Linked DNA regions of Oreochromis niloticus. The protein of the gene in region 1 purifies or fractionates together with the protein of each later gene. This does not show direct contact. Links are inferred from orthologs where the notes say so. Each region holds a gene or a part of one and is shown in the gene's direction. Other genes may lie near its edges. The genes, in order: hdac5 and tbl1x.

Region 1 (16,031 bases):
TTTATTTGGAGGTCATATGATTGTTCTTCAGCAGCTTTTTCTGGGAAACATCTGTTCCTCTAGCTGATCTCCATTGTGTTGTAGTGCTAGGTCAATATGTTGAGCTCCTTTTTAACACTTAACTGTCCTCTAACTGCTTAAAAAGTCTGAACTAAAAATCACAAACATACAGGTCGTATTTCTTAAATATGCTGAAGCTATTCAGTCGGTGGGATTGTTAAGGTGGTAGAAGGAAATGATGATGAATCATTTATTTTCATCATGATTTATGTCTCAGTTTTGTGCTCAGCTCTGCTGTTTTCTTCAGAGGTATTTCATTTTTCAGCTTCCAGAGCTGAAACATGAAGCCGGCTCCTTTAATGGCCACTTGAGGCCGGTTCCAAAAGCGAGTCAGTCCCCGTAGACTTCCATCATAAAGTAGCCAACTTTACAGCATTAGAAACATATTTTTTAGGGTGGTTTTGGCTTCTGTGCTTAATTTCCCTTTTCACACAAATCTGGTTGAAGTTTTAAATGTAAATTTTAAGTCATCAACAGTTGGTGGTGTGGCTGCTTTGACTGACAGGTGTGCAACACAGGCAGCAGTAGGTGGCATCTGCTTGGCCTCTCCTTTCTTTGTTATTAATCTGGACCTCTTTACTTTGGGTGTGGTGTTTGAGGATTTTAATGTATTTCTAATGGATTACACGACTAAAGTATAGATTGCTGTGTGGTAAAGGTTCACAGAGGGTGGAGACTGCACGAGCTGTCATAGTCTAAGAACTGGGGTACACCCTGGTTAGTTCATCATCCTATCAGGTAGGACTGGGCAATATATCGAGTTTTTAAAAAATATCGATATATTTTTATACGAGATATAAGATGTGACAATATCGTTTATATCGATATAGTCTATGTTACGTTATAATTATACTTGTGGAGCCGCAGGTTTGCCTCTCTTTCGTCCACTTTTGTCTCTACGCAACGTTACTCGACCTCGCCTCTCCTTCACTGAACACAACTCCCCCTCCTCCCCCATCGCTTCACCTGCAGGCAACGGCAAGATAGACACAGCAAATCTTCGTTAACGAGTTACCGCGCATCGCCCCGTGCGTGGGGCTGGACAGCGTCAACGTGTTAACAAGCTAACCGCGCTAACGCCATGCAGCCCACAAGGGCTGCACAGCCTAAGATCCTTTCATTTTCTCAAAAGTTGACTGCGTGCCTTATGTATGAATTCTGGTTGTGCTTGATGACCCCGAACCGATTTTATGTGATACACGGCGCTCAGCAATACGTCAATAAATGTTTTAGTACGACTTTGGTAAGCTACGGAGCTGCACCGCTTGATGGATTGTCGGAGCATTACGGCTACCGAGGAGCCTCGCGGAGTAATACGTACTGTGCGTCAACGTAATATTACCGTATTGTGTGTGTATAAGGACCATAAATGGCACCTGTTCAGAGACATGGTTACGAAGCGGATTTCAAACTCCAGGCTGTCAGTCATGCAGTAGAAGTTGGGAACAGAGCAGCTGTGAAATCTGTCTATGTTATTATGCTCAGTGTCTGTTAGTTTACATTTTGACTGCACAATTGTGAGCTCTTTGTTATGCACAAAAACAACATTGTTTTCTTTTATTTATGGAGCATCATTATTTAATAAATACTCATAATTTATTTTTGAGTAGTTTTGTACATCTACGCTGTATGTTAATAAAAGTGCCTGTGTGACATCTGGGACACAGCTTTGACTAAGAACTCTCTTTTTGTTCTTACTTTATGGCTTTAAAAAAAATATCGAGATATATATCGTATATCGCCATCCAGCTAAAAAAATATCGAGATATGAATTTTGGGTCATATCGCCCAGTCCTACTATCAGGGCTAATGCAGAGAGGCAGAAACTATGACCAGTTTAGCATCAGCTTTTAACTTAACAGGCATGTCTTTGGACTGTGGGAGGAACCTGGAAAGAGCCCATGCAGACACAGGGAGAGTGTGAAAAGTGCTGGCAAACAGCTTCAAAGCGCTGTATAAGAACCAGTCCATTTACTATTTACCATTTACCAGTTCAATTAATTCAGTTTTAGTTATATGGTGCCAAATCACAACAACAATAATACAAGAAAACAGAGAAAACCCCAACAATCAAATGACCCCCTGTGATCAAGCACTGTGGTGACTGTGGGAAAGAAAAACTCCCTTTTAGGAAGACAGGATGAAGACATGCTGTGGAAGAGAGGCAGACATTAATAGTAACTAATGATTAAATGCGTGGTTTCAAGTCTAATCTTAAAAGTAGAGAAGGTATCTGTCTCCTGACTCCAAATAAAAACAGGCTTTTAAGAACCTTGTTGTTGTGAGGCGACATTGAAAGCCAGTGCTCCGCTGGGCCACCAATTATTCCAGCTTTATGTGTATTCCCAGCCAGTCTCTAATTCCAAGTACTACCCAGGTCCGACCCCGTCTGAGATCACATGAGCTCAGATGCAGCCTGGTTGTGCTCGAGTTTTTCTTCTTGTTAAAAGGGGAGTTTTTCCTTTTCACTGTCTCCAAGTGCTTGCTTGTTGTTGGGCTTTTCTCTGTAATATTGTAGGGTCTTTACAATATAAAGCACCTTGAGGCGACTGTTGCTGTGACTTGGTGCTATATAAAGGAATTAAATTGAATTTGTGGGCATATGTAGGCACTCACACGTAGGCTTGTTTTTACCTGCATCTGAAAAGCAGTCCAGTGTACTTCGACCATTCAAAGCCATTATAATGTACAAACAGGTTAGTTGACTACATGTGTTAAAAAGGTTTATTTTGAGCCGATTCAGCTGCAGCTACAGGCGAGTAAATGTTGGATGTACGTGACATTATGACAGCGATGAAGAATCCGCCCACGCTGAGATGTCCCCCTCCATCAGTTAAAAGCATTAATCGACTGCTATCAGTGTTTGGGCTGAGAGCCAGCAGTCCTCACACAGCTGCCGCCACGGCTGCTCTGTGTCGGTGTGTGTGTGATGTGTCCAAGAACAAATGAGTGTGTGTGTGGTTTGAGTGACACAAAAAGAATGGAGGAGGTGTAGGGAATGGAAGATAAATGCATTACTTTAAATCACATTACAGCTAAGTAGCCAGGGACTTAGCTGCAACACTTAGACACACACACCTATTACACACTTTATTGGGAACTATTTAGGGTGTCAGTATGTTTTCCATAAATCCTTTTTCAGTACAAAACCAGTAGGTGGAGCCAGAGGATCAAGCAGCATCAGTGAGCCTCGGGTTTTCTCTGTGTTTGAAATAATAAAACAAATGTGCTCATTATTCTCGATCAGAACACAGTTTGACATATAGCCAGTGTGGATGTCATCATATCAGATTGTACTTCATGATTCTTTGTGATGTTATTGTCATATCTAGAGCAGGGATGTGAAACTAGTTTTATATTGTGGGCCACAGACTGCAGGACCAATGAAACAGCCTTTTCTGTCAGTGTAGAGAAACGTAACTGAGCATTTAATCCCTGCAATGTTTTAATATAAGACAAACAAAGTGGGATTTCAACTGCACGTCTCAGTTTCTTTACATGATAAATGTGCAAAAAGACAGAAAATTTATAAAGTTTTGTTAATTCACTGCTTTTTTTTTTTTGCATTTAAAAAAATGTGGACCCACTATAATAAAAGCAGACATTTCTGTAGTAGATAGTGCAAAAAGTCTTGTGTGATTTAATTGTTTTTCTGTGAGTTTGGTGTAGTATGAATGGATGGACTCTTTATCAGCAGGAAAACCTATAGAACTTGTGACAGTTCAGCTAAAAGTTCAAAGTATATGCGATGGTTCATAGTGTCCTAAGCCTTCCAGCGGTCCAGATTGGAGTCTTTGCTGGGCCAATTGTGGCCCCCAGGCCTTATATTTGGCAAAAGTGCATAGAGGTGACGGGAGAATCTGTCATAAAACTGAAGATTTTATTACTACATATATTGCTAGCGTTTGTAAGAATAAGACAGAGTCTGTATAAGTAGCTGGATTATTGGATGTGAGCAAGTGCTATAAAAGGCTGTCAAATAGGGAGATTTCAGAGATTTAACTCAACACTAAAATGTTTAAGCTGGCATCATTGTTTTTAATGAAATATTTTATTGACGTGTGCCAATAGAAACATCTTCACAGGCGTTCTCAGGCTTTTGGACACATCTGTGAAAAGTAGTGAAATAAAGAACTCCAACTATACTGTTGCTCTGACTTGAGCTCTGGGAGACAGAAGAACAGAAGCCAAGAGAGACATTAAGCATGGTAATCTTTGCAGTTAACTGTCGAGCAGGATCAAATCAACCTGCAGTCCCAGTTCGTCTGCTACGCTGTGACTGGGCTGTAGCTGTTTGGTTGAGGTGTCGGTTGTTTTGAGTGTGAATGCTGAAGAAAGGCAATTTTGTCTTTTGCAGAAAGACGTCGAGAAGAAGGTCTGAATCATCCGTCTGTCCTTCTACACATGGCCGACTCAGAGGACCCGCTATAACCCACACACACACGTACACACACACAGTGGAAGGGCAGGGGAAAGAAGTCCAGGTTCAGCCTTCATGAATTCATCACACCCCTCAGGTAAGTCTTCTTCAAACAGCATGATATGTAAATAGTTAACATCATTGGTCCTGAATCCTGGAAGCGTAAAACTGCCCAGTTTGGACTGGTGAATGTTCTTATTGCTAATGTTGGATTCATTTTTTCATACAGTGTCTGTGTTTAATGTGTCAAAGTTCTAAGCTCCCTGATAAATCCATATGAGCAATGCAAACTTTGGCCTTGTTCTTGTGGTTGGGTTACTGTGCAGTGTGATTTTGTTGTTGCGCTTTGAGCTCAGGTCAATTATACTGAGCGCTGGCTCAATAAGGTGCTGAGTGCTGTGTAAACACTGTGAGTACGACTAAAAGGCTCGATGCTTCAGCAGCACTTTCTAGCAGATGTTTGGCTCATCTAAGCTGTCAGTATCAAAAGCAGTCATGTCATCATACTGTAGGTAGCTTTACTCCAGCTGCCTGACAGTGCTAAGTGTGTGTGACTTACTCCTGACTTACTCCAGACAAAGTGTCTGCGCAAAGACCTCTGCAGCTCGCTCTGTGCTTTATCTACCGTGTTTTCTCAAGTCAGGTCAAAATTTAGATTTGGCCAGGTCAGAACTGACAGCCCTGCAAGACTTGAGCTTATTTTATAGAGCTGTGTTGGTTTGAGAGCTTGTGCCATACTGGGCAGCATGTTTGTAGGTACATCTTGAACAGTTACTTTTACTGATTTGTATACTGGCTGTTGCATTAGCATAAGGAGCAAGCTAGATCCAGTTACAGAGTGTTACACTGTGTTTCATCCATCTGCACAACAATATACTGTGTGTGTTAAACATACAAAACAATACTGTGTTTACACCAGCAAAACAGACCTAGGAGGGGTGCTCCCATCCTCGTTTAGTATAACGGTGATAATATGCACATGTCACAGTATAGTGTATAATTACATCATGTTGGTTTTTGCCTTTGTTACACAGATATTGTGATGATTATTATCATCCACACAGATCAGAACACGTCAACCTGATCGTTTTCTACAGGAAATCGTAAAATACTTTTCAGAAAGAACGATTTTGCTCAGTTAGCCTTTTTCTTTCTGAGCTGCACAAACCCTCTGGAGTCAATCGACACCTCGCCCTGCTTATAGAACCTGCTCGGTCAGTGTAAATCATATAATCATCATTCACATTCATTGCATGAATACTAAGCAATGGTAAAGATCACCTAAGATATTAATTAGTTCCATTTGAAGCTATTTTTGCTAACATGCTAATGTTGCTACTTTAATGAACAAGTTTCCTGAAAGTGCATGCTCCTCTGAGTAAAATGAATGTAAATATTTTATTTGGTTGTCATTTAATAAAAGTGAATACATAACTGTTAGGGAACCTTAACAGCTGTGTTAAAACACAGCTTGTAGCTCAGTCTGTGCATTTGGTGGCTAGCATCGGTGTCAGTCTTTCATTACAGTAGCTAGTACAGTACAGTAGCGTGCCTCCACCAGTGTGTGAATGTGAGAGTGAATGAGTAGTGACATTGTAAAGCGCTTTGGGTGCCTTGAAAAGCGCTATATGAAATCCAATCCATTATTACATGAGTTACATGTTACATGATCGTCAGTTACATGTATGTAAATGCATTGTGTTGTGTTGCTACGTAAGACAGCAATAAATAATAATAACAACTTAAGTTTAATGATAATGATAATAACAACAATAGTAATAACTACACTACTACTACTTTCTTGTTCTACTACTGCTGGATATTAATAATTATACTGAGAATAAAAAGGAAAAAAGAAAAGACAAATAAAGCATTAATGAAAAGTTGAATGGATTGAAATATTGATAAAAGAGGGTCGGAAGTGGAACAAATGATGACCCTCGACACTGGTGATGACACAAGATGATCCTCATTGGGATTAATGATGGTGTTTTGGGGATGGGGTGTCATTCTTGGCCAGGTCAGCAGTATTTTGTTCTCTATTCAGTATACTTTATATTAAGTATAAAGTGTGTATAAGTTATTCTTATCTGCTTTTTTGAGACATCTAATGGAACAAAAACACATTTTGCACACACCTGTCATCCTGCCAGAGACTGTATTACTAAAAGTGGCACAATTACATGGTTGACTCGAGCGCTGATGGCAGTTAAAGTGCACGCCGCTTTTTTAAAAAAAAGTAAAGCTTAACAGTTGATGAGTTATGGTGCAGCTGTTGTACCGGGGAAAGTATGGGACTAATCCGTGGACAGATGATTATAAGTTGTATTGTAATAGCATTGTTCTAACGATGCACAAACAACACTAGTGCTATTTGTTAACTCAGAGCTGATATTTGGTTCTTTACCATCTTAGTTTTGCACATTATGAAAGAAATCAAAACTGAATGAGGATCTGATGGTACGGTCACCGGAGCAAGCTGCAAATCCAAAGGCGACCACAGCATTTAAATCATTACATTGTACAAAACATGCTAAATTGAGCATGTGCAGTCAAGTGAGAGTAGTTTGGGGTGAGAGATGATCTTTGAAAGGATGAAAAGTCATTTTCTTGAAATGTGCTTGCTTAATTTGTTTAGCTAGTGGAGTGTAACTTCAGTGTAGGGCCTCAAATCAAAACCTTGATTATTGAACAGTTTACAGTTATTGATTGATTATTTTATACACACATGCTCATTTCATTTTTCATTCATTGCTCATCTCGACTATAAACAAAAATGAAAACTCAGCCTTGACAATGACACCAGAGCATGCAGAAGGATTTATTAATAAGCCCCACGCCCCCGGTACCGGGGGCAAAAGGGAGGAGATCACGTTTAATCGGTTATAACGCCGGTTGAGAAATATAACTCCAGACATGTGTGGTATCCACAGAAACCTCAGAATCTCAGCTACAATGTCATATAAACCATTTCTACAACCACCAAACACACCGCAAACAAGCCGCGATTAAACGAGCAGTTACGTAATGCGCAGAAGTCCGCTAAACACGCAAACGAGAACCAGACAGTCTTCATGTAACCGGTTATAAATAGGCTGGCTAGCTTCCAGGGCTATCACTGCGTAAACACACGAAGTTTGACCACGATCGGACCAAAATTCACTGAATTAGCCGCAAAAGAAGAAAAAAATTAGGCGAGAATAAAATCTACTTCCTTTTTCTGTGTTCCAGTCTCAGTAACTTTGACACAGTAATATCCGCTTTAATATTTACACCTCTGATTAAATGTCCCAAGTGTTGGCTTCATTTTGATACAAAGATTGTAAGGACGGAGTTTGTAATTGCAGAGAAATAATCAATTTAATTGAGGCATTGCATTTTCCAGCAGGAAGCTCAGAAAACCCCTTGGGGCTCAAGAGGTTAATGCATATAATTTGAATGGCAGCAAAAATGCCAGTGTCATGGTGGTACGAGAGGAAAGGTGAGGGGGTCAGCACACGTGATAGAATTCATCCTCTGCACTATAGACTAAAGGTAGTAAATGGTGGTAATTGCACATGTGGAGAACTGACCATCATTGCTATTCCTATGTCAAGCTGCTAGCATGCTGGGAAAGAAAAGCATATATTAATATATTACAAGTCTCTGGCTGTCGTTGCAGACATGTGCTTTAACGAAAGTAATAAGTTTTTGAACACTTGTGAGTCATCCTCGTTTTACATCATCACTGGTAGGCGTATGTTTAAGGGCACTAAATGCTGGGACACATGACTTATGTCAGAAATCTGAGTGGACCAGGTTGGAGTCTTTAAATCGAGTTGCCGACAGTCCTCATGATTTTAAAAAATGCTTGATATTTGCTACTGATGGTGTTAGTCAGGTGAGGGAGACATTTTTCATTCACAGTGAATGTAACGACAGCTCTGACTCCTGCTTTGCTCCATGTGCTGGATCGCATTGGTTAACTTCGTTCGTGTTTGTATATGTGTGAGTAGTATGTACCTGTGCGTCCTTCCCACGGCTTTTTTGACAGCTTTGTCTTGGGACGAGTGATGGGGTGACTGACTGGCTGTAATTTGGTTGTCATGGATACAGATGTAGTAGATACACGCGCACACGAGCACGCACAGACAGCAGTGTGACTCCAGGGGTTGATGCGCCTCAAATAGAAACGCAGAGATGAGTCATCCGCCAAGCTGCTGCAGTACACACAAACACACACACACACACACACACACACACACTCACCTTTAGTAGATGTGTTTGGTATGTTAGACCACTGAGATGTCAGACATGTTGCCTGGACAGTCGCGTCCCTTTCACTTGCTACCATAAACACACGAAAGGCTGATTTTAAGGTAACAGCACAAGTCTTTAATAAATAATCATAGTGTTGGATAACAGAGCAGCAACACAGCAGCCTGTTCGGTGTGCAACAAGACAGGACACTTCAAATTAACTTTCTGTATTTACATTTTCTCCCTTTGCTGTGTATATAGTCTTTACTTGTGAGTCATACTGAGGCAGCCTTAGATCTGCTGGAGGACACAGGGAGCTGTTTACACAGGAGGTGAGGATGATGAGGGAGATGAAGGTGATGAGGAGGAGGTGGGATAGAAGTGATGATAAAATGATTCAAAGAAACATTTCTGGAAAGGAAACAGCAGCGACAGTGGTCAACGCAGAGATGAAAAGCAGACAAATACATGAATTAGACGAGTCCTGAGCTGGTCTGCTGGATTTGTTCGTCTGTTAAATGTATTATCACTGATTACACAGAGCTCGGTTTGTTCTCCTCTTTTGTTTTTCTAATCCTTGCACTCTGCATTTGCCAGCAGCAGAGACACCCCATTATATTTTGTTACAAGGACCAAAACCTATTCTTAATGTGTAGCTTCTGTTATGACTGAATGCTGAATGGAACAAACAAATACTATAAAGAGCAGTTTCAATGAATAATATCCACGCTGACAGCAAAGTGAGCCGTGTAGCTTCTAGTTACAAAGAAGTCTTTGCAGGATTCTCTCTGACATTTTTCTATTGGAAGTGAGGTGTTTGCGCAAAGTGATGTAGAAGACTGTTTCTTGTCCAGTCTTTTTTTTAAAAACCCCATCATGACACAATTTAAATACCTGATATTCCCATAGATAGGCTGACGTCCTTTTTTCTTTCAGACACACAAAACATGAAGAGATTTTCCTTGTTTCATTTGTAATGTGTAATACTAAACAGTGGCTTTAGACTACCTAAAGATACTATCTAAGATGATGTCTTTGATCAGTTGTGTCTATATGTGTAGACATGCTTGAATGGTCCAGTATAATTGAATAGGTCAGTGTTAAATAGTCTAACAAAAAAGCACTTCTCTGAAAACGGTCCAGTCAGGACGGGACTGAAAAATGTCGGAAAGAATAGAAGAAAAATTTTGACAGATCTTCTGAAGCCTGGAGAACGACTGCTCAGGATCAGAATATAAGAAAAAAAAAAGGTCTGGCTCACTGGAAGCAAAATGGGAAGAAATCAGAGGTGACTTAAGACTTATGCACAGTCTTGTAGTTATACTTAATTTAAATTCCATTTTGAAAATGACATCTTTCAACAAAATGTGAAAAACCTGTTGTGAGTTTGTGTCCAAAGCATCTTTGTATTGTGTTTAAGAGATTTTAACGGAAGCCTAACTAGATCTGGGCTGTACTTTCACTACCAGCTTTTAACCACAAGGTGGTGCAAGTGAGGCTGTGTACTCTTTGTTTAACCCAGCAAGTCCTTAAGACCACAGACGTATTGGCAGCCTGGCAAGTGGCAGATGCTCTTAAAGAAATGGTGGTAGTGAATAGGAAAAGTTAAGTAGCCATCAAATAATAACATCTTAATACAACCACTGGTAAAACACTGTTATAGCTAATTCAAACAAGTGTCTTAAAGGCTTCAACTTTTCTTTTCAATAAAAACTTGTTTAAGGGTTAAGTGAATGAAGCCTCACAAAAACAATGATTAACAATATTGTTAATGCAATTTAACAGCAAGTACAGCTTAAAGCTGCAGAACCATTTGCAGCACCAACCTGATGGTGGTACTAAATGGAACAGTTATCAGGATTCCTCCTCTGGGAGATATGAATGTTGGCCAATCCTTTGGCTGAATGTTGACATATTTTATTGGTCAGGTGGAGACTTTGGCCAGCTGGTGGCACTAAATGACCATTCAGCAGATGAGTAGGCTTTATCCTCTTGGCACTGTGGATGCCTGGAGCTGATATCACACTGCAATCTTACACTGACTGTGCCATCCCCCAGTGCCCGCCGCTAGTTAACATAAACACCTGCATGGCCACAATTTGTGCACCCAAAAAAAAGGGGGGTCGTGGACCTAGCAGAGCGAGAAGAGGTCCACAGTGCCCACCCACACTCTTTGATTGACATACAGTATTTGGCAAGCACAGCACAGAAACATGAAAGCACCCACCGCCACCCTCCCATCCCCACCCCAGAGCTGCAGGCTTACTGCTCCCTCCTTCTCTCCTTCTCTCCCCTCTCTCTGTCTATTTTTATCTCTAGCTCCTCCTCTACCCTGGCAGGCTATTTTCAGCACCGTTCCCCCACCCCAATCGCCTGTGTTTGTAAATGCTTCTCTTCTCTTCTCTTCTCTTCTCTTCTCTTCTCTTCTCTTCTCTTCTCTTCTCTTCTCTTCTCGTGTCCTTGCTCCCTCTCCCTTCTATGAAGTAAAATGAGCTGTTGTTGACTTTTCTCTGTATCCATCTAACTTCCTTTCCACCCAGTGATCTACTTTCAGCCTCTCTCTCGGTCACCCTCCTCCCTCTGTCTCCTGTCTCTCTGTCGACGTTCATTCAGTAGCTCAGTGAGCGTTTCTCACACACACACAGTCATCAGTGACTCTCAGTCAGTGAATATTAGCCGTCTGACCAGCAGCTGTTTGTGGTCGCTGTGTGGAGCTCCACTATCCTCTGTCCTCTGTCCTGTGATAAGAGGATAGCGTACCATCTCCTCTCCTGCTGCCCATTTTCTCAGTGAGGACTAAAAACTCGCCATCCCAGCGTTCTTCCATTTCCTTCTCTCTCTGTCATTCTCTCAGTGCTTCGTTCTAATTTTGGAAACATGGAACCTCGGGGAGCGCTCTCCCAAAGCTATTTACGTCCTTGCCTCTCCTCCTCCTTGCTCTCCTCCTCTTCCTTCTCTTCCTCCTCCCTCTCGTCAGCCAGGAGGAGAACAGCGTGAGGATTCTTTGATGCACACAGAGCTGGGGAATTCGGCTGCTCCTCTGTCTGTATTTTTATTGTGTTGACGAGGCTGCAGGAGCTCCTCTCGTCGGTCGCTCCTCGCTCTCACAGCCTGTGGGTGACTGGATTTTCCCTCGCAGCTGAATGGATGAAACAAACTTTCTTTTCCTTCCATCTGCTACACATCCCAACAGCACTGGAGCCAGCACTGTGTTTCTCCGTGGATCAGGACTCCAGGTGATGTAGATACAGTGAAATAAACCAAAAGACTACACAGACACTTTTCAGGTGGTCTCCTTTGGCTGTTGACATTTTGATTGATCTGCAAAGCCCAGCCGAGGGGAGGCTTTCTGTGGGCTGCAGCCGAGACGACGATATTAGAAAGGAGGAGTTTGCTCAAAGTGTCGCCCGCTCGTCATCACAACTCGAGCCGAGCAGTCAGAGACGGCAGAAGCTCCAGGAGTCCGATGGAGACTGGATTACACAAGAAAAGCACAGAGGTGTTCGATTATTTTCTTTTCTTGTAATTCGCGGCCGTTTCCCGCAGAAGTTAGTTTTGAAGTTTTTAGTTTAACTGTATGGGTCTACGGCATGCCTGCGTCTCGGATGAAGAAGTGACTGGTTTAACAAAATAAAGCGCCGGCTCTCGCCTTGGCATGCTGTTGCATCCCACCGTGTCAGGATTGTGCGCCATGTTGCAGACCATCTATGAGACTGAGTCCTGTTTTTCCTCCAGCAACACAGACAGCCACCATCAGCCTCTGGAGCTCCTGAGCGGCAACAGGGGCTCCAGCGCTGCCATGCCCACCGCTGGTGAGTCATCTATGGGAAAGTAGGGGTGGGGGGAGAGGGAAGGTGGGAGGGAGGGGTGGGGTGCTGCGGTGTACTGGAGGTTTGATTAAAACTGATGAATAATTTGACGTTTTCTCTCATAAGGAACGCCTGTGTGGTATTTGTGTTGAAGTTTGTCAGCTGGAACAGCAGCACTCGCAGCTCGCTGAGGAAACGATGGTACCTGAGTACCATAAGTGCTCGGTGTCCACAGTTTGCGTCAAACTGTGCACTCTACAGATACATCATACACATATTTTTAGATTCAACGTGACTTCCAACATCTCGTCTGTATCGTCTTCTCGAGCAAACACATTGAGGATAAATATTGATGCATGTGTTTAGAAATCATAGATTTAATTAGAATAACTGTGTGCAGGTTTCCTGTGCTAGGCATCAGTGCTACAACACAAAAGATAGCCAACCTCACAAAATATCCTGGTTCCATAGTTTATCCCCGCACTACAGTTAGACATTTTCTCACAATTGGAACTTTCAACTCTCTTTTTTTAAAAATCAAAATATGTGTAAAAGTCTCTCTTTTTACATTGAAAGAGTAAGCTCTACATTTTATGTTAAAACAAAAAGAAAAAAGGAATCAGATTTTTAGAAATAAAGTGCAGTTGACGAGCCTGACAGAAGGTCAAAGACAGATGAGATTCAGTCTTCTTTGTAAGAAGAATATTTCACTCTTAAAGCAAAAGAGTAGCTCTCGCTCTTCTTCATGTTTCTAAGAGAAGAAGGGCAGAAAGCCCCGACCACTCTCTCTTCATCTCTTGCAAAGGGTCTGAGTATTTTTGTAGTTTATGCAGATGGTTTCTTTTTAGCTATCTCAGTCTGGACACACTTTCTGTCATTCCGTCTCATTCTGTAGATTTAAAGTTAGCTTTGGGAATCCTTTGGTGATCTTTAGGAAATTGTCAGTGTTTTAATTATTTATTTTTGGCTACTCCTATAATGCCAAACACAAATGTACACTAGTAGGAAACATGGGTGATAAAATGGATTTTCTGAGGTTTAGTTAGAGTAGAACTGGCCAAACAATGGTGCCAAAATGAGGTAAAGCAGTGTTGAAATGTAGCTTGATGACAGCAGGCTGGAACAAAGAGGATGTATATTGACTCTAATCTTTGTTTGGCTGCAGTTACAATGTTGGCTGTGTGAGTGTGTGTGTGTGTGAGTGTGTGTGTGTGTGTGAGTGTGTGTGTGTGTGTGTGTGTGTGTGTGTGTGTGTGTGTGTGTGTGTGTGTGTGTGTTCAGAATTAAAGACTTGCAGAGATTGAAAATGCTGTTAATGAAGTAGCTTAAGATTTGTTAGATTTAGATATGTAGGGGCCCAAAATTCCTTTAAATGAAGTAATGAATTTCCTCGTAGATTGCAAAATAAAAACAACTCCCAGATCAACACACCTGTTTGTTTATATCATTATAACTGGTGAACCATTCACACATCTTAGGCTTCTCAAAGAAGAGAATGTCACGAAAAAGAACTTAACATATGAACTTTGATCTCACTTGTACCCTGAAATATATCGAGTCTTCTTTTGTTTGAATTTTGATTATAGCGTATAATCAAAGCCAGCCTCTCTGATTATTAGAATATTTCGAGAGATATATTACAACACACAAATGGCCCAAATGTTCAAAAATATGTTTGTCTGTACACCCATGTCTTTACTCCGTTACTCCTTTACTGTGGATTACTGCGTCAGTGCATTGTAGTTGTGGCATTGCAAAGCTGTTATTGAGGTTTCTTTGATAGTGGCCTTTGGCTTTTCTGGATTTTCGAGTTTGGGAGTTTGTCATTTTCATCTAGACAGTACTCCAGAGATTCTCTGTAAGGTTCAGGTCAGGTGAGTTCGTTGGCCAGTTTCATTTTGCACTGTGGACAAGTGCTAATACCTAGAAAAAGAAACATCTCCATAAAGCTCGTCTGCAGATTAAAGCATGAAGTGATATGGCATCACAGAGACTGTGGAGCCTTCACACTGCACTTAAAACACTGGGATATTGGAATATCTGGGATATCTTCCTTTACGTTCTTGAGCCTTGATTTCTAAATGCAATGCAACATTTACTTTCATCTGAAAAGACTTTGGGCCACTGATGAACAGGTAAGACATTTCTCAAGTCTTTGGTTCAGTAGTGGGTTAATCTTAGGAAAGTGACAGATGTAGCGTCTTTTCCTGAAGACGTCTGTGCACAGTGGTTCTCGATGCACTGGCAACAGCCTCAGTCCATCCTAAGTTTAGAATCAACTTTTCTTGACCATCGTCTCAAGACTGCAGTAATTCAGGCTCCCTGTGGATCTTTTCCTTTCACACTTTTCCCTTCCAGTAAACTTTCCATACTTTCACACAGCACTCTGTGAATCCTGTGTATCCAGCCTTTTCAGCAATGACCTAATGTGGCTTTCTCTCATTGTTGCAAGCATCAGTGACTGTTATCTGAACAACTGTCAAGTCGGCAGTTTTCCCTTGATTGTGGTTGTTTGTATTCTACTAGAGCAAGAGAACTGTCGTGTATCTCTTGCTCTAGTAGGCTGGAACTTTATGTAACCTCAAAGTAGAAGTTCACCTTTATAAATTGTGGAAAATAATGAACTTTGTATGACATTCTATACCTAAGTAAGAGCTTGCTGTCACCTATTGCTGCAAGTGGATGTTACAGGCTCCTGTTGTATAGATAACCCTGTAATGTATTTACCACCCGTCAGCAGTATCCTTTTCTCCTATTGGTAGTTGATCCAATCCCTTGTCTCAAAGTTGAAAGTTTAAATTAGTCCCTGCCCACTATGTGTCATTAAAGGTTATTTTGGCTTTGTAAGTAGCTTAAATTCATTGACGTTCACCACACTATAATCACTGCTAGTCTGTGTGGACGCATCTGTACAGTCATGTTTATATCCACCACTGTCTGTTTTGGTCTCCACCGCCAGTTGTAGGAAATGTGCTCTGCTTTGTTCATCCGATACTTTCTCAACTTGTCCATCTGCTTAACTGTAAGCATTCAATGAGAGCTTTTTGTACTGTAAACTGTTGTCTGATGCTAAAATGACCAAGCAAGATCACAACCGTGAGACTCAACTGAAAGCTATAGAGTGTAAAAACACAATGACGAAATATACAGTGTTAAACGCTGAGGAGGCCTGCTTCATGGGGGTGATAATTCTTTGAGGTTTCGTTACTGTTACTGGTTCCCTTTACATTGTACGTGACCACTGAACCCTGAACTTGAAATATAAAAACATAATTTAGTGCATCTTTAAAGCTACGTATATTCTGTGGCACAATTAATTGTACCAGATGTTCTCAAGTACTTTCAACCCAGTGTAACACAACAGACAAGATCCACTGTGGATGACCTACAGTCTGCCATCCCATAATGCTTAACCCACCCATCAGTCTCTATAGCAACACCACACATGTGACTCCTCTCCCTCTCTCTAAGCTTCTAATTTGTCTAAAGTACACACAGCCATTA
Region 2 (15,561 bases), on another chromosome or scaffold:
GAGTAAAGGGGCAGGTGAACTCAGGGTTCACGCTTTTGATGGTGGTGGTGGGGAGGCACTCGGATCAGAGGGGACCACCGGCTTTTGTTGTGATCACTAGCAAACAAAAGAGATGGAGATTAGTTAAGCTTAAGGGAGCATTTGAACATGGAAGTGGAGTAATGCTGTAGATGTCGGCATGCATTTGAATCAGTGTTGCCTGGGTGCTTGTGATTAAACAGTAAATTGTCCTTGATCATCTAAAAGCATTGTTAATCAGGGGAACGCTCAATGTATTGCGATGTATGTTAAAAAGGGCACACGGAATAAATGAGCATATGAAACATAATAGACAGAATAATAGAGGAGTTTGATTATGTAATATTAGCTGATACTGAGTCTGCATTTGTTTCCCAGTTAATATGATTTCTGATTAATCTGCTTTAAATGAATATAAATCAAATTTCTAACTGATAGCAAGTCTCCAGGGAAACCAGCTGCCACATTTCATCAAAAAGACACTGGCTATCTGTAAGAGCAAGCTACAACAATGACATCAGTGCAAGAGCTATTATCTGCAAAACTCACCTAGCCTTTGATTAAAAAAAATCTTTCATTACAAAGTCAAGCAAAGAAATCATAAATCTAGAAGCAGCAGAGGAGAGAAAAACACCTCTTAACAATCTACTTGGATATTCATTCACCTTTCTCCTTTCTTGTAACAAGCCAAATAAGATGTTAGCACAGCACAATATCACTATCACACTGTATATTAATTCAGGATCTGTCATATTACTTGTGATAACTGCAGCTGGTTACCCAGCATTAAAGGAATGTGAATTATTTCATTCCTTCTTCACCAAATACTGATATGACATGCAAAAGAGGTCATGTCATGTTTTCTTCTTGCAGATTAAAAAAAAGGGGCGAATATTAATTCATAATTTGGACGTGAAATCTACGCATTGTCTCTGGCCCCAAGTATCTCCCCATGATACACATGCACAAAGACATTCTTTCTGATGAATCACGAGTGAATGGTTGTGTTTTTAAAGTAATAAAAATAGCCCGTCTCATTGATAAAAAACAAATACACCCATTGGCCTTACAGCCACCCTTTTGTCTGTTCATAATATCAAGTCTATTCATTGGTGTGTTCACAAGACTTTCTAACATTCCCAGTGAAAATATTTGTCTTGTATATGAGGTTGGAAAAACCTACTTGGCGTGCAGGACTTCTGAACACAAGTCCACATGATATATTTTCCTTCTTTCGCCACATCCCAAAACAATGCAGCATTGTGCAATCACTCGGGGGTGATAGTCCAGCAAAAACTGTTATTCACATATAAACCACCCACACAGAGCTGAAGTTACATTTTGGTCTCAGTTTAGACAGTGATGGTTGACTGACAGCTGAACATCCCTCTGCGGCTGTTAGCAGGTTGGATGATAATAACCGCACCGAATAGGGTGGTGTTTATTTTCAGACTGGATACAATAAATAGACTAAGAGGACATAAGGAGGACACAGTCAGGAAACCTGTGTGTTTAACCCATGTTAACCAAACAGGGACGTCTCAATATCTGTGATTTGTGGGACGGTTTTTTTTTGTACCACTAGATGGCAATGTTACCACAGGCAAGTTTTGAGGTCTAGACAGGCCTTTGAGACCTCTCTCTCTCCTCCACTCCCCCGCCCAACCTCTCTCTCTTTTTCTCACAATATTTTCCAGGAGATGATCCAGCCTTAATATCCAACAATGGAGAATTTATCAGGGGGGATTTTGTTCTCTTGTCTGAAGCAAACAATTATCAGATATGATGAAAAATAGGACACATTTTCAAAACTCAATGTAATCTTTCTGTGTCTGTGTCACACATGCATGTATGCACACACGCAAAAACGTTTAAATGCTTCTCCTTTTTTTGTACCCAACTATCGCAAAATGCTACAGGATTTATCAAAGTTTTATAACCTAATTTGGTAGAGAGGTGCTAGGGATGCATTCAGTTATGATTTTGCATATCAGCTTCACATGAATGACTTTTATCGTGACGTGTGGAACCCTTTCCTGTCTGAAATACAATTCAATCACTCTCTAAATTGCTCTTCGTCTCGCGCAGATCATCACAAGAGGCGACAGCAACTGCAGAGACAACTGCGACAGGCATATCCAGCCATCATCTCTGAAATCCGCGGGTCAGAAGAGTAATTATGTAGCATGACAAGTCACAATGCTGTATTGGGTGTCTAAGCGAGTGGTAGCTCATTACACGCCATTATGTTGCCATGACAAAGCAAGAGGCTGAAACCAGGAAAACACTACACAGCAGACATCCCCATCCACAAGCTTCTAAGCTAACAATACAGTGGATAGATAGACACAGCTCATCTGAGAACCTCCTGGCAAGAGATCAGATATATGTTGGGCTTTCTACCGTGGTGTCCACTTAAATAGTAATGATAAAAAGCAGGAGGGGGATAAATAAAACAAGAAAAAGCATGGTTAATCAAATAACGTAACAATATATTTTAGGTATTGACATTTTTAGTTGGTTAACATAACAAACACAAAAAAGTAGTCCAGCTCAGTGGTTCTCAAATGGAGGTCTCAGGACCCCAAAGGGTCCATGATCAATAGCCAGTGTCCCCCCGCTATATAAATTTGCTATAAATTATAAAGCTGTGTTTTAATATCAAACTGTGTATACTGGGGACATATTTACAAGAATATTTATACCTTAAGCATACTGTGTTCATAGTGCCAGGTCATCTCATCAGTGGCCTTAAAGAAGCTGATATATCATGTAAACATAGAACGCACAAATAGCTGCAATGGCAGTTAAGAGAACAAATGGTTCTCTTAATTCTAAGTCTCAGACTTAAGACTGTAGTTGTGTCTTGTGTGTGTGTGACTGTATAATTTTTATGTAATGTAATATATATACATATATATATATATATGGGTTTTATTACAATTTAGACTTTAGCATGTCTAAAATGTGAAACTAGATTAAATCTGAGGTACAACATAACCATTATGGTCTGAGGCGCTTAAGGGGGAATTTCTTTTAAAAAGACTTAAATGCCACTGTAAGAACAAAACGTTGTAAAGCCATTGACTGCTATCGTGCTAGTGGGGGAGGAAAGGCAAGGCAAGTCTGTTGGTTGCAGGTCAGCAACCCTTGACCTTTGTCCTCTATCCATGAATCTCTGATATCTGTCTGCTTTCCCGCCTTCTCTGCCCCCCCCTCCGAATTCATTTTTGAGGAGTGTAGGAATGTGGCTTCCCAAAGTAACACAAATATTTCTCTTTTTTAAACAGTCAGTTTTTCTTGTGAAATTTATTACGGCTGAGTGAGTAAGTGGCATATTTAAGCAGCGTGTTTGGAGCAGCTCTCAAACGGAATGGCTGATCGGAGCTCCTCCGCTCTGTCAACTGTTACATCTGTTTTTCTTAAGTGAAACCAAAGTGTTTCAGCTGCAAATAGAGATGTTTGTTCCCGCAGTCTGTTTTGCTTTGTCTGAAAAATAGGTCTGTAGGTTATGACATAACAGTGCACCACAAAAAGCCTTCTCTCTAGCTGGTGTGGATGGTTGGGGGAGGGGAGGGAGATAGTGGAGGAGGAGGAGGAGGTGTATTACAGTGTATTCACATACACAAGGTTTTTTGTTGTTGTTTGTTTTCTTTTGTTTTGCTACTATTGAATTCCCCAAGCTTGTACGTTTGTCTATTCATCAACATATAGACATAAAAATCATAAATAAGGGAGCTTGTTCTTCCAGACTGGGTCCAATGCTCGTGTTCCTTTTATAGTGTGAATAAAGCAGCAGGGTTTAGGGAACTAAATCCAGTATGTAAATAGACACCAGAGCACGATGAGAAATAGATACTCGACTGGATATTCCCCTGCAACCGACTAGGCTTTCCCCACACTTCTCCAGCCTAATAACAACACAAGACTGGTGTGACTAGCTGCTCCCTTCCCCCACCCTTACATATTACCATTGCTCCTCAGTGCTGTCTAGAAAGGTCATGTGACCCTCATCAGCTTCCTGCGTTGGGGGAGGGGAGGCAGATTGAACCTGTTCTTTGTTAGGAGGTCAGCCCCAGCTCTATGGCAGGAAACGCTCCTACCATAAACCATGTAAAAGAGGTGCAAGGGGCAAAAGGCAGTGAAGCTACTGAGAAGCGTGTTTGACCATTTGTACAGAGGAGAACACGTACACAAGGCAACATAGTTGTAAGTACTAAGATGTGCTTGTTAAAAGCAGCTCCAGTGGTTTAAAGATTTAATAGAATGAACTGTTTTTATGACAGGAGTCTTATATTTTTAATAGTGCTTTTATATAACAAATAAACAATGAAATCACATAAGTTGGAAGAGATAGGCTACTAAACAATTAAAGAGGGTAAGGGAGGATTTGGTTATATAAGTAAGCTGCAAAAAAACAAATATGGGGGCATTGTATCCCTTCATGCTACAATATGCACAGAAATTCATCCGAATTTTTCTACAATTTACAGAGAAATTTGCCCTTCTAGCTTCATCAGACTGTAGCTTCAGGCAGTTTGGAGCAGTGTGACGATGCTGGTTTAAGGATCGGCACAAAATCTCAAGGGATAGTTGTTTGTGGGGGAAAAAAAGAGGAATGTTCCATAGGGTCGAGGTGGAGTAGATGTATTAAGTGAAGGAATGCAAGAATAAGATGAGGGTCTTATTCTTGAATGATGGCAAATCCAGGTGGTGGGGTCAGATGCAGTACAACAGAGTCTGTAGTGCAATGTTTAACTGAAAAGTTATCTACAAAACAAAGCTTTTAGTTTACTGCTTAGTGTGCATCTTTCAAACTCCATAGAGCTACACTACATTACGGTGAAACACTGTACTGTCAAATACTAAAGCCCAGTCACAAGTGCTGTTTTCGGAAAGTTGTCTGAGGTGATTCACCTCGATGTCAACTTGTATGTTATAAAGTTGAATTGATTTGCTTGTAGAGTTTCATGATTCATTTGGCAGGCAATAAGGCTTCCCCGAACGCAGGCCTACAACTGTTTAACCGTTATTTACTCATTTTGTATATCTGACTTTCAATCTGACAAAAGCCATGACTTCAAGAATTACTAAGTGCAAACACTGCAGAACTGCTTATGAGACACAAATTCAAAGCATCCTTATAGGGTGAGATAAACACTTGAAATTGCATTGTGCGTAACCACTTTAAAGGAGAAATGCTGAATTTAAACATGTAAGTTCCAGTCTTCCACTTCACTTCTATAATAAAATATTGTTCAGTCAGTGTGAGACTTTTGTACCTTGCAAATCACCCATAGTGAAACTGCAACTCCCACAGCGTACCACATCACAGAAAATAATTTTCAGTGCCCCTTGCAGGGCTTTTCAGAGAGCAATAATATCAGTACTTAAAGTAACCACATCATCTCAGGGACCTTTGCTATGCAATATACCCAAGGAGAGTGTATGAATGGGGCAAATTTCAAATTTTTCACTTTCTGGAAATCACGTCCCTCCCTTCCTCACTGAAATCTTACTAAAACCTTACTGGTATTAAAGGCCCTGACTTTTTTATTTGGCAGAGCTTGTATCAGATATGTATTGCTCTAAATAACTAATCAGCTAATCAGACGGAACTCTTGGTACAGCATAGTCCCACAAGATGCATATCAGACGGACATTTACACGTCCTCCGGAACTGTGTGTGTTTGTTATCACTGTCTTTTTTTTAAAGTGTAACAGCTAGTAAGCATTAATAAACGTAACCGTCTCTGTTTCTTGTGATAATTATGTTCTAAAAGAGTACACAGGAAAAAACAAGAAGAGCATGACAACAATCTCTTGTGGTAGTCAAAACCATAAGATGCACTGACATTTGACAAAAGGTTAAATATTACATGCAGGAAATGGAGAGCTGGCGGAACTCTGTATATGCGTCTCGCTGTCACCACATTCCATAGAAAAAACATCAAAACCATTAATGATTTTGTACCACTGGTGCTGTCTGTGCATTCTAAGCCTCCAGACCTCTACTGTTAGTCAATCAATAAGAAATCAATGAGCCAAACCATTACAGTGGCTGACATGTTCCTTCATTACAATAAACATGGGTTGTGTAGTTTATTTGAGGTCAATCCCACATAGATCCTCCAGGGGCCACAAATACTCACAAGATCGCAATGTTTTTAAGGTCCAAAAATAACTTTGTAATCAAATAATAACCAAAACATGTAAAGACATACAAACTGTACGGATTTGCATTTAGAGCATGTATTCACAGCTGGAATGAAAAGGGCTTGAGGCGCAAACAGGATAGAATCACTGAGACAGACTAGTTGTTGGTTTTGGTCTCTTCAGTATAGAAGTAAAAAATTTGTGGATATATCTTTTCATGTGTAGCACACATTGTCTGTAGACAATAAGCAGCCTCAGCCATGACCCTGATTAAATGGATAACTGACATGCCCATAAATGCTATCTCATGTATTGTGTAAGTTGTGTTGGTATCACACAGAAAGGTTTACGGCACTAAAGGCATAGCTGATGCCACACATAGCCTTGTCTTCTGTGGACTGATTGATTGTCCCAGGCTGGGATGTTAGTTTTAGTCATACATCTGTCACAGTAATTACAGCTTTTTTTAGACATTGTATATGTAAGTGGTTCCACAGTGCAGTGATCACCAGTTTGATTCTGGGAGCAGATACAAAGTCCTTTGGAGGGAGGGTCAGTGTAAAAACTTCCAAATAAAACATGTGGAGGTACCTGCTGTGGTGAATCCTTGTGAATAATGGAATGGCCAAAAGTAGCTGCTTCTTCAGACATAGAATATGTAATAATATGTTCACTGAATTAATCTGTTTAAGTTGGGACATTGGTAGAAATTAAGCATTACTGGGGATTGAGCTTTTTTTCCTGCACAAAGAACAAAGTACATGATATGAATGCAGAATCTACTTTGCGAGGAAGCTAAGATCCTTTAACATGTTGGCGTGTGTGATAATGGAGATCGGTGATAGTATGATCATTTACTTTGCTGTTATCTGCTGAGGGCTTGCATTAGTGCCAGAGATGCCAGCAAACTGCTCTCCATCGTGGACCCCCCACTGCACCCGCTCCATTCTATACTACAGAGGCAGCAGAGCTTATTCTCTCTCAGACTTATTCAACCTCGCTGCCATAAAGGACACTTCAGAATATCATTCCTACTGTTCTCTGTGAAACTGTACAACAGCTCCCATCTTCGTGACAGGTGAACACACCTGCCAAGACCCCACACGCATTTCAATATCAGACCTTCTTGTTGCTGTTTCTTAGAGATATAGTGTACATAATATTTATTAGTGTCATTTGCACCAAACTTTTGTACACCGCCAGTCTTATTTTTATTTTTATTTTATTTTTATTTATTTATTTTTTTATCACTGTTGTATATGTAAAAGGTTATTTTGCACTAAACTGCATCATGAGGCCATCAGACCTCTCTCTCTAACCTATCGATCTCTCAGTATATCAAAGTGCACGTGTACGCTTGCAGGCCAACCAACTAAAAGCACGTAATACACCACCATTTCGGCTGAGGCTGGAGCAGTTGTAGCGTTTGTATGGAATATGTGATGCGCAAATATTGCTATACATACGGTAACCAAAGGAATGTGTCACACTGATGTCAACTTGTTATTTACTTTCCAAATCTGAATGACTGAGCAAGGCGAAAGGAGAATTAATCAACCGCTGTGTGACCAGGCAGGCGAAAAATAGCGGTGTGTGGGGGGATGGGAAGAGCCTCCGAGAGGCCAGATAGGCAACAACATGCTACACTGTAGTCTCAGCGCACTGTCCTTAAACCGAAACAAGATATCATAGTGCACTTAAGCTCGAGAGCCATGTTTTAATGGTATTAATTATACCGCCTAATCTATATTTGGGGAGGGGTGGGGGGTCAAATTTAAGACGGTCTGCTGAATCCACACGTGTGCAAATATACAAAGCGTACAGTAGTTACGCGTTAATGGCACACATAGGTTCCAGACAGCACGTGTATCTTTATATTTTCCATAAGGTGTTAACAAATTGACACTTTGGCTCCTGATTTGGCTAATTAGGCCAATCAGATACAAATGAGATAAAACAGTCCCTGGATTATTAACCCCAGAATGGATCGTGTTTATATTAGTCAGGTTTATTAAAGACAGTTTAGCCTTCAACCCCCCGCCCCCCCCTGCGCGCGCTCTCTCTCCTATTCTGTGTGTACGTCTCTCTCTCTCTGCCGTTTAGCGCTCGCTGCTGTCTCTTTCTGCTCCTGTTCTCAGTGAACGGTGAGGGTGAAACTCTACAGAGAGTAGCCTGCAGCCTCAGCCACAGAAACTCGGGTTTATTCCAACTTTACCGCCAGTTGTGCGTGTGTGTGTGCGTGCGCGCGCGCGTGTGCGTGTCTGGGTGAACACGCTTTGTTAGCACAGCAAATTTAGCCGGCAGTGAGTCACACACACACACACACACACACACACACACCCGCGGTCGGAACTTGAAATGTGACGGTAATCAAAATGGGAGGAAAGTCGTAGCTAGCTCGCTGAAGTTGGAGGTTCTCCTTGTGGAAGAAGAAGGAAGAGGTGGCGGCGGACACCACGAGTTCACTCACAATAAAAGGTAAGCTAAGGAAAGGTCGAGTGGCACTGCTTTGGGCAGCACTGCATTCAGGCTGCTTGTGTGTTTGTGTGGGTTAAAAGCGAAGAGGATAATGACTTTGAGAAATTGGTGATTACGGCGTTGATTAGGAGGATACTTGCCGGCACAAAGCTTAGTCACCCATTGACTCCACACGTGTGTTGAAATTCCTGTTTGCGCCTTTTAATTTAGCCTCTTTTGTTCATGATTTTTCAAACAGCCTACTTTTCTGCTACATTGTTGTTTTTCTTAAAGAAACATACCCATGTTTAACCTTATGTAGCCGACCTGTGGACTACTTTTAGTAAATCGACTTAAGTTTTAGAGGTTCAAGGTTGTCCCATTGTGGTGACTGATTAGTTTGTCTACTTTGGAAATGTGCTACAGAAGTCAAAGCACATTAAGCTGCACTTTAGATCATTTTGTTTGAGCTAAAGCATGAATGATACATATTTATATTGCCATGCAGACTTAGGAAGCGCATGTGTGGGGGAGGGGAGAGAAATTCAACTGTACTAGACAGTGCCACCAGTTTCAAGGGCCAGTTCATGCTCTTGTATAACTCCAGTTTTAAATTGTTACTGTTAAGCTTATGACCTTCTACCATGCAGCACAGCACAGGCAGACGCTTTTAGAGAAACTCTGCTGTGTAGGAAGGAATATAAATTGTGATAATGCATGTCTACATAACACTCAACAAGCACAGACTACATTTGGAGAGAAATGAGAGATTGAGAAATGTGGTTTGACCTGCCTTTTAAGACTCTAAATAGTGCCTCGAATGATGGGATACAGCTTCAACAGTCTTGTCTGTCTTAAGAGAATCAAAGTGTATCTTAATCCAGGTTATTCCAAGTTTTGGCCTTCTCCCAGTTGAATATATCCAAATAATTAAAAACAAGGATAGACATTGAATTCTTTTAATTAAGAGGATAGGCTCTATGCCTAAACTACATGTGGACCAGTCATGCTTTTGTACCGGTTCACCCAGAAGAGAAAAAAAATGTTATTGTTGCTATTAAAGCAAGATATAAAAAAGATTCAGATGCCAGGACTGGCTAAAACCCCTGCTATTTAAATTCTCTTGTAACCTGATTCTACATCAGTGGCCCACATAAGTAATGTCAATGTGATGCTCCCATTTCTTGTTGACCTAGTGGCTGTATTTGAATGTTATTTGATTACAGTACGAGTTACATATTTTCTGGGATTTTTTTTTGCTGAACAGCCATGCCACAGCATGTCAGTTCCCTTTAGGGCAGGACTCCAACACAGCCACCCTACAACAGGAATTTTCTTCCGTTTTTTTTTTGTTTTTGTTTTTTTGGCTTTGGGTGATTATCTTGTGTCATCACCCAACCTCACCTAAGCTTGAGGTCATTGATCTCAATCATGCCATTCTCTTGTAAATTTTCTTATTACTGTGTCAGTTTCATTGTGTCTTCGAGCACTGTAAGGCGGGGGTGGCCAATTAATTTTCCCAAGGGGCCACATGAGAAACTAGAACTGTTATGGAAGGCTAAACCAATAAGCTTAACTCAGTTTTGTTTATCACTTTTTGAACTGCTAGCAGTAAGAGTAAATGTCACAGTTGGGCCTTAATCGTGGCCTCTGAAGTAACAATACAGTCCCAATCCATAATACTACCTCCACCATACTTCACAGTTGGTATTAGTGTCATCCAGTGATTTTTTTTTTTTCCTTCAAACCAAGGAGTTTGTGCAGATTTTCTTTTTTTATTTATAGCAGCAGGACTGTCTACTTGTACGTGGAGACATTTTTTTATGAATTTGAATTTGCTGAACACCCAGGTCCTTTAAAATGCTTTCCTTCCTTTTCTAGCAGTTTCCATTTCTATGGTTTTTCCAAGGTACTGTGAAATTCGAGGCACAGTTCACATGAAGAAGTCTTTTTTTTTTTTTTTCGTCGTCTTTCTTTTTTTGACAAGACTAGACTTTTTTTGAGGCTACAGTTTAGCAGCTTCACAATCCTCGTTGATGACCTAATTTATAAGGAGGGGCACGTCTACAACGAACACTTATAATCTCATTTCCAGCCTGTACTGTGAATAGTTTATTTTATGTGCTCAGTAGTTTACCTTGCAAATTTACCATACATATGGTGTGTGTGCACACTGGATAGTAATGCCAGATTATCATTAATTGTTTATGTAATGGGGTGGTCACTTACAAAGAGTAAGGGAAAAAGAAAAGTTCTCATGTATGACCGGTGTGTAGTTTTTCACCGGGGAAATAATACAGCACAGCATTCATGCAGGATATTCTTTTAGATTGAGCTGTTTAAATGGACTTTCCTGTGGTGTATTTTCTTCTAAAGATCTGGTGTGACGAGTGTCTTAAACAGTTTTTGCAACCAGCTGCTTCATTTCAGTCCAGTAGTTGGTGGAAATGCAGAAGACAACTGTGATGACTCAATATAAAGTAAGGGGTAGGCAACATTGCAACAACAGCGAACATGTAGGAGATTCAAGTCTTGCTGCAGTTTAATGTGATTTACTGCTTTAGAATTGGGGTCACTGAGTCAGCGCAGGAAGAGAGATGAGCAATAGCAACAAAGTGAATTCAGAACACCCCAAATGCTGGACTTCAAGTAAATAAACTTGCAAGCTGTTGCTGAGATTGTCCGTGAGTTTATTGAGACTGAATTAAAAAGCTACTTCAGCCAAATTTAATAAGAACATTCACGCTATGTAAAATAATTTCTCCATAACCTAATCTAGACTGCGGACTGTGCGGTGAAAATGCGTCCTTTGTTGTACAAGTTGTGTTGAACTCTAATTACAGTAGTTACAAAAACAGCTTCAGTGCCACCTGGTAAAAGAACACCAGGATTTAGTGTCAATGTTTTGCCTGTTAATCTCTAATGTTTAGCTCAGCATTAGATTTAATACTCTGTATCATTACTCATACTTTATACACTTAAATCCACTAAGAAAAGAAGGAATTAAACTGTCTTTTTATTTGCCGTTTCAATAAATGTACACAATTACCATTTGTACTGAATCCTCAGGGGGCATAGCCAAATAACATTGTTAGCCTGCTTCGTGACAGGATTTGAGATGAAAGGTGTTCTCTTTAGCTTCCATGCAATACCTGGTCTTGTGTTTAAAAGGAAAAAAACACCTCATGGCCTGCAGTCTATGAAATAGTTCAATTATATAATGGCTTGTCTTTATTTATTTTTTTTACTTTCTATATCTAACTACTATAAGAAAACATCAGATCCACAGTGCAATGAGACTGTATTAAAAACAGAAATGTATTCCCTCTTCATAAGTAGGGCAAGGAAGTCCTGTGTGTCAGCCTTGTGGTGCTGCAAATCTCTTCACTGGGCTGTCCAAATATTTCTGTAGCAGTATTTATTTATGATAGACCATGGGGGAAGGTGGGCCATTCTCTCCCTTCAAAAGAGACATGCAGTGTTCAGTGGTGACCAGCCAACTGGCGCACTGGTGGTTACTCTAAAATAACTGCCATACAAGTACTGACTAGTTGAAGGCTGTAGTTATTTATTTGGATATCATTTGGTGTTAGGGTGGTGCTGTTTATCATTGTGTGAGCTACGGCCTATGGTGCCTTCCCTCTGTCCCTACTTAGAATACAAGTAGAGCAAGTACACATCCCTTTAGGCATCTGTTAAACATTTAAGTATTAATGTTTAGTGCTTTTCAAGTGTAGGCAGATGATCACATTTCTTAAGTGTGACTTGCTTGATTTTATTTTCTTGTTTTTTTGTAACGTCTTAGAAGGATGAATGAAGAAATAGTTGGTGGATGACTTTTCGGGAAGTTGTGCAAGCACATTCTTGCCAGAGTGGGAAAGTTCTTCACTGAAGGTCATATTGTGTTTTTGCTTAAGTCTTAATCTTCATCCGAGTCAGCCACGTAAGCTTATCTTACCTTTTGTGTAGCAATCAGTGTAGTTATGCATGCAAAGTATGTCATCATCATCTTAGCCACTCCTTGCTACATCAATTAACAAAGACTTGTGCACCTTTTGGAGACTGGGCTTAAATATTAATTGAATATTGCAATTTACCTCTTGACATGTGAGAGAATCCTCTGGTTATGATGGATTCACAGGCGTTTCTGAATTATATTTTATTTATTTCAAAAGTCAACATCTATATGTTTTTTGTTTGTTTGTTTTTTAAAATCTCTTTATAATTCCAGTCACTTGGAAGGCTGTAATTCAAACTTTGCAGTTGCTTGGGCTTCTGCGTTTGCAGTATGCTGGTGGAAACCCTGCAGTGTATGTATGCATGCTTGGGTTATGTCAGTAACACTGAAATTCCACAGTTCTCAGAAGGACTGGATGATGTTAGGGCTGTTAGAATTGGCCAAAAAAGACATTTCTTTATTCCTTTACCAAAATCCACTCAGGTTCAAACCGTTATTGCATATTAGACGTATCTGCAGCATGTCTGCAAGCAGGCATACCACTACAATGAGACATCATGTCTTACATAGTTATTTTATTTAAAGTTGTTTATTTTTAGATTGATTTGAGTGCAAATCACACTTGAGCTCAGCTGTGAACTCCCTGCCATCAAAAACCACACGGTTGTTACTGAATTATTCACTCTTGTCAAACCCTGGACTTACATTTCATTTTCAGTTACTGAAAGTGACAAGCTGTAACTTCTGTCCATGCTTTTAGGTTGTCTGCTGGTGTAGTGCAAAATGTAAGGATCCTGTTGACTGAATTTAGCCTGAAGTAGTTAGAAGAGCTATAAAGAAGTTTGAAAAACTAAATGAAAATAATCAGGGAAATGTTGTGACTTAACACATTGTTTACCTTATTGTGGTAGGCTTAATTGTTCGCTCCCTGTATTTCCTTGCACCGGCAGCTGTGTGTCTGAAGTCTGAAGCAGCTCTGCTGTTCCCACTCTGCCACTGTGCAACGTTGTGGGTAAATATTTCTACATTAACTGTCCTGTTCCCAGCTGCTGGGTATAACAACTTTACTGGTAGAAACTCTGCATTATATTCTGTGTAGCTTGCAAGATAAGACAAATGGCACAACAGTGTTTGTTTTTCCAAAGAATAATTTTTATTTGTATGTATTTTATGATTTTACAGTTGGATTATATAATCAATAAAATCTAATTTAGACTACTTGTTGACAGCCTCATGTAGGTTAGTTCATTCAACTAGCCAACATCCACCTCATAATAAGTGATTTCCATTTTATTTGTGGAGGTGGTATGTAGGTGCTTGTGCCAGGTGGGCTGTCAGCTGTGTACCACAATGGTGGAAAGCCTGCATTAAGGTGAAAGGTAGTAATTTTTTGGTAGCCTCTCTCTTGCTCTCTCTGTGGGCTGGCAATAGTGGCGCTGCAACAGCAGCACTGTCTTTGTAGACAACAGCTGTTCAGTGAGGTAGCTGTATGCAGAGATTAAGGCAGGCAGTATGGCTCAAGCATCACACCAGTGCCATTTTTATGGCATTGCAATATCATAGAGAGAAACCCAATGATTCTCTTTGAGCAAGCATGTGGTAACAGCGGGGATGGAGGGGGAAAAAAGGCTCCTTTCAAAAGAGAAGGCGAGCATCGAGCTTGACACTAGAAGTGAAAGCAAAGATAGAAAAGAAGACCACAGGGAAACAACAAACGCTGAGCTCAGAAGGCTTGTATCTGAAGACCAGGAGCGTGTGAGTCCAGAGATACCTGCAGAAAGACACAATGAGAGAGGACATGTAGAGAAACAAAGAAGCAAAAACTACAGATGGTAGAAGGCAGAAAGTTAATGCATGCAACTCTGACATTTAAATGCACACAGAGTGAAAGCTTTAATAAAGGCATTCAAAAAAATAGAGAATAGAGCTGAGGTGAGGCTAAGTGCATCATGCAGCAGCTGGATGTATATGCAGCAGTATTTAAGATCAGTTTTTATTACACAGCAATAACAGTGTTTTGTTTTTTGTTTTCTTCATTTATCCTTAAAATTGGAACAGGATATCGCAATAACACATTTTCATAGTTTTGGCCAAGAAGCAAAAATGAATGTACTTCTGTAAAATGTGGTAGTAGTATTCTGTGATTGTCTATAATTGTGTGTATTTTCATGACCCATATACTCATGCGGTTGCAAGAGGAAACCCTAAAATGTCCCAAACTTTTATTGCTCGTGTGCAGTCAGTTGTTCAGCATGGAAGATGCTGTGTGGAGGACACAGACAAAGGGAAATCTTTGGTGTGTTGGTGTTAGTGTTACACGGTGTAAATGCTGGCTAAAGAAGCAGCCGTGAGATGGCTTAGAATGAAGATCAGTTTTTCAGCACGCTTGCCTGCCTTGTTTGCTTGACCCTGATGTCAGATGGAAGGAAAGCTCAAGGAGAGTGGGGGTATTTAGGGTGGCATGAGCAGCTGTTGACAGAGAAGCAAGAGCCTTTGGTCACCATAGCAACACTTGTATTGCCCACACTGGTGTGTCTCGGTGTTTACAGCTCATTTGTGCTATCCTCATTTTGATGAAGAAAAAGAAATGCCTTGCAGAGGCCTCTGAAATGACTACGAACTTGTTAAGGATTCTTCATTACTATTGAATAAATACACAAACACTATAATGGTTACTTTTTTTTTGGGTAGTGAAATAGTGTTTATGCAAAAGCTTGTTAAGACATACTGTACACTCCCATAGAGATGTAATACTTTCAGTTCCTGTCAGTGGTGTAGACAATGGCCGCATTTGCGTAATGTCAACACAGCCAAAACACTTCCAAATGCTCTATTCATTATTCATTTAGGCGTTTATTATCAGACGTGCAGATAATTCACTCTCCGCTTCGCTTAGTATGCACTGGCCTAGATGTAAAACCACATAAATTTGTGACGTTCTAACTGAGCAATGGGAAAGGTGGATTTTTATG

What was found.
Region 2: the proteins of hdac5 (region 1) and tbl1x purify together in Homo sapiens (affinity purification with mass spectrometry; 3 studies listed by BioGRID and IntAct, with this or other methods). This does not show direct contact. The link is inferred for Oreochromis niloticus from reciprocal best matches to the Homo sapiens genes HDAC5 and TBL1X.

What each region holds. Positions count from the first base shown.
Region 1 is NC_031969.2:4,472,734-4,488,764, forward strand, and holds the start of hdac5 (histone deacetylase 5), read left to right. Parts: upstream 1-8,840; 5' UTR 8,841-12,373; coding exon 12,374-12,530; intron 12,531-16,031. UniProt on the Homo sapiens protein: Responsible for the deacetylation of lysine residues on the N-terminal part of the core histones (H2A, H2B, H3 and H4).
Region 2 is NC_031987.2:18,249,340-18,264,900, reverse strand, and holds the start of tbl1x (F-box-like/WD repeat-containing protein TBL1X), read left to right. Parts: upstream 1-8,242; 5' UTR 8,243-8,652; intron 8,653-15,561. UniProt on the Homo sapiens protein: F-box-like protein involved in the recruitment of the ubiquitin/19S proteasome complex to nuclear receptor-regulated transcription units. Plays an essential role in transcription activation mediated by nuclear receptors.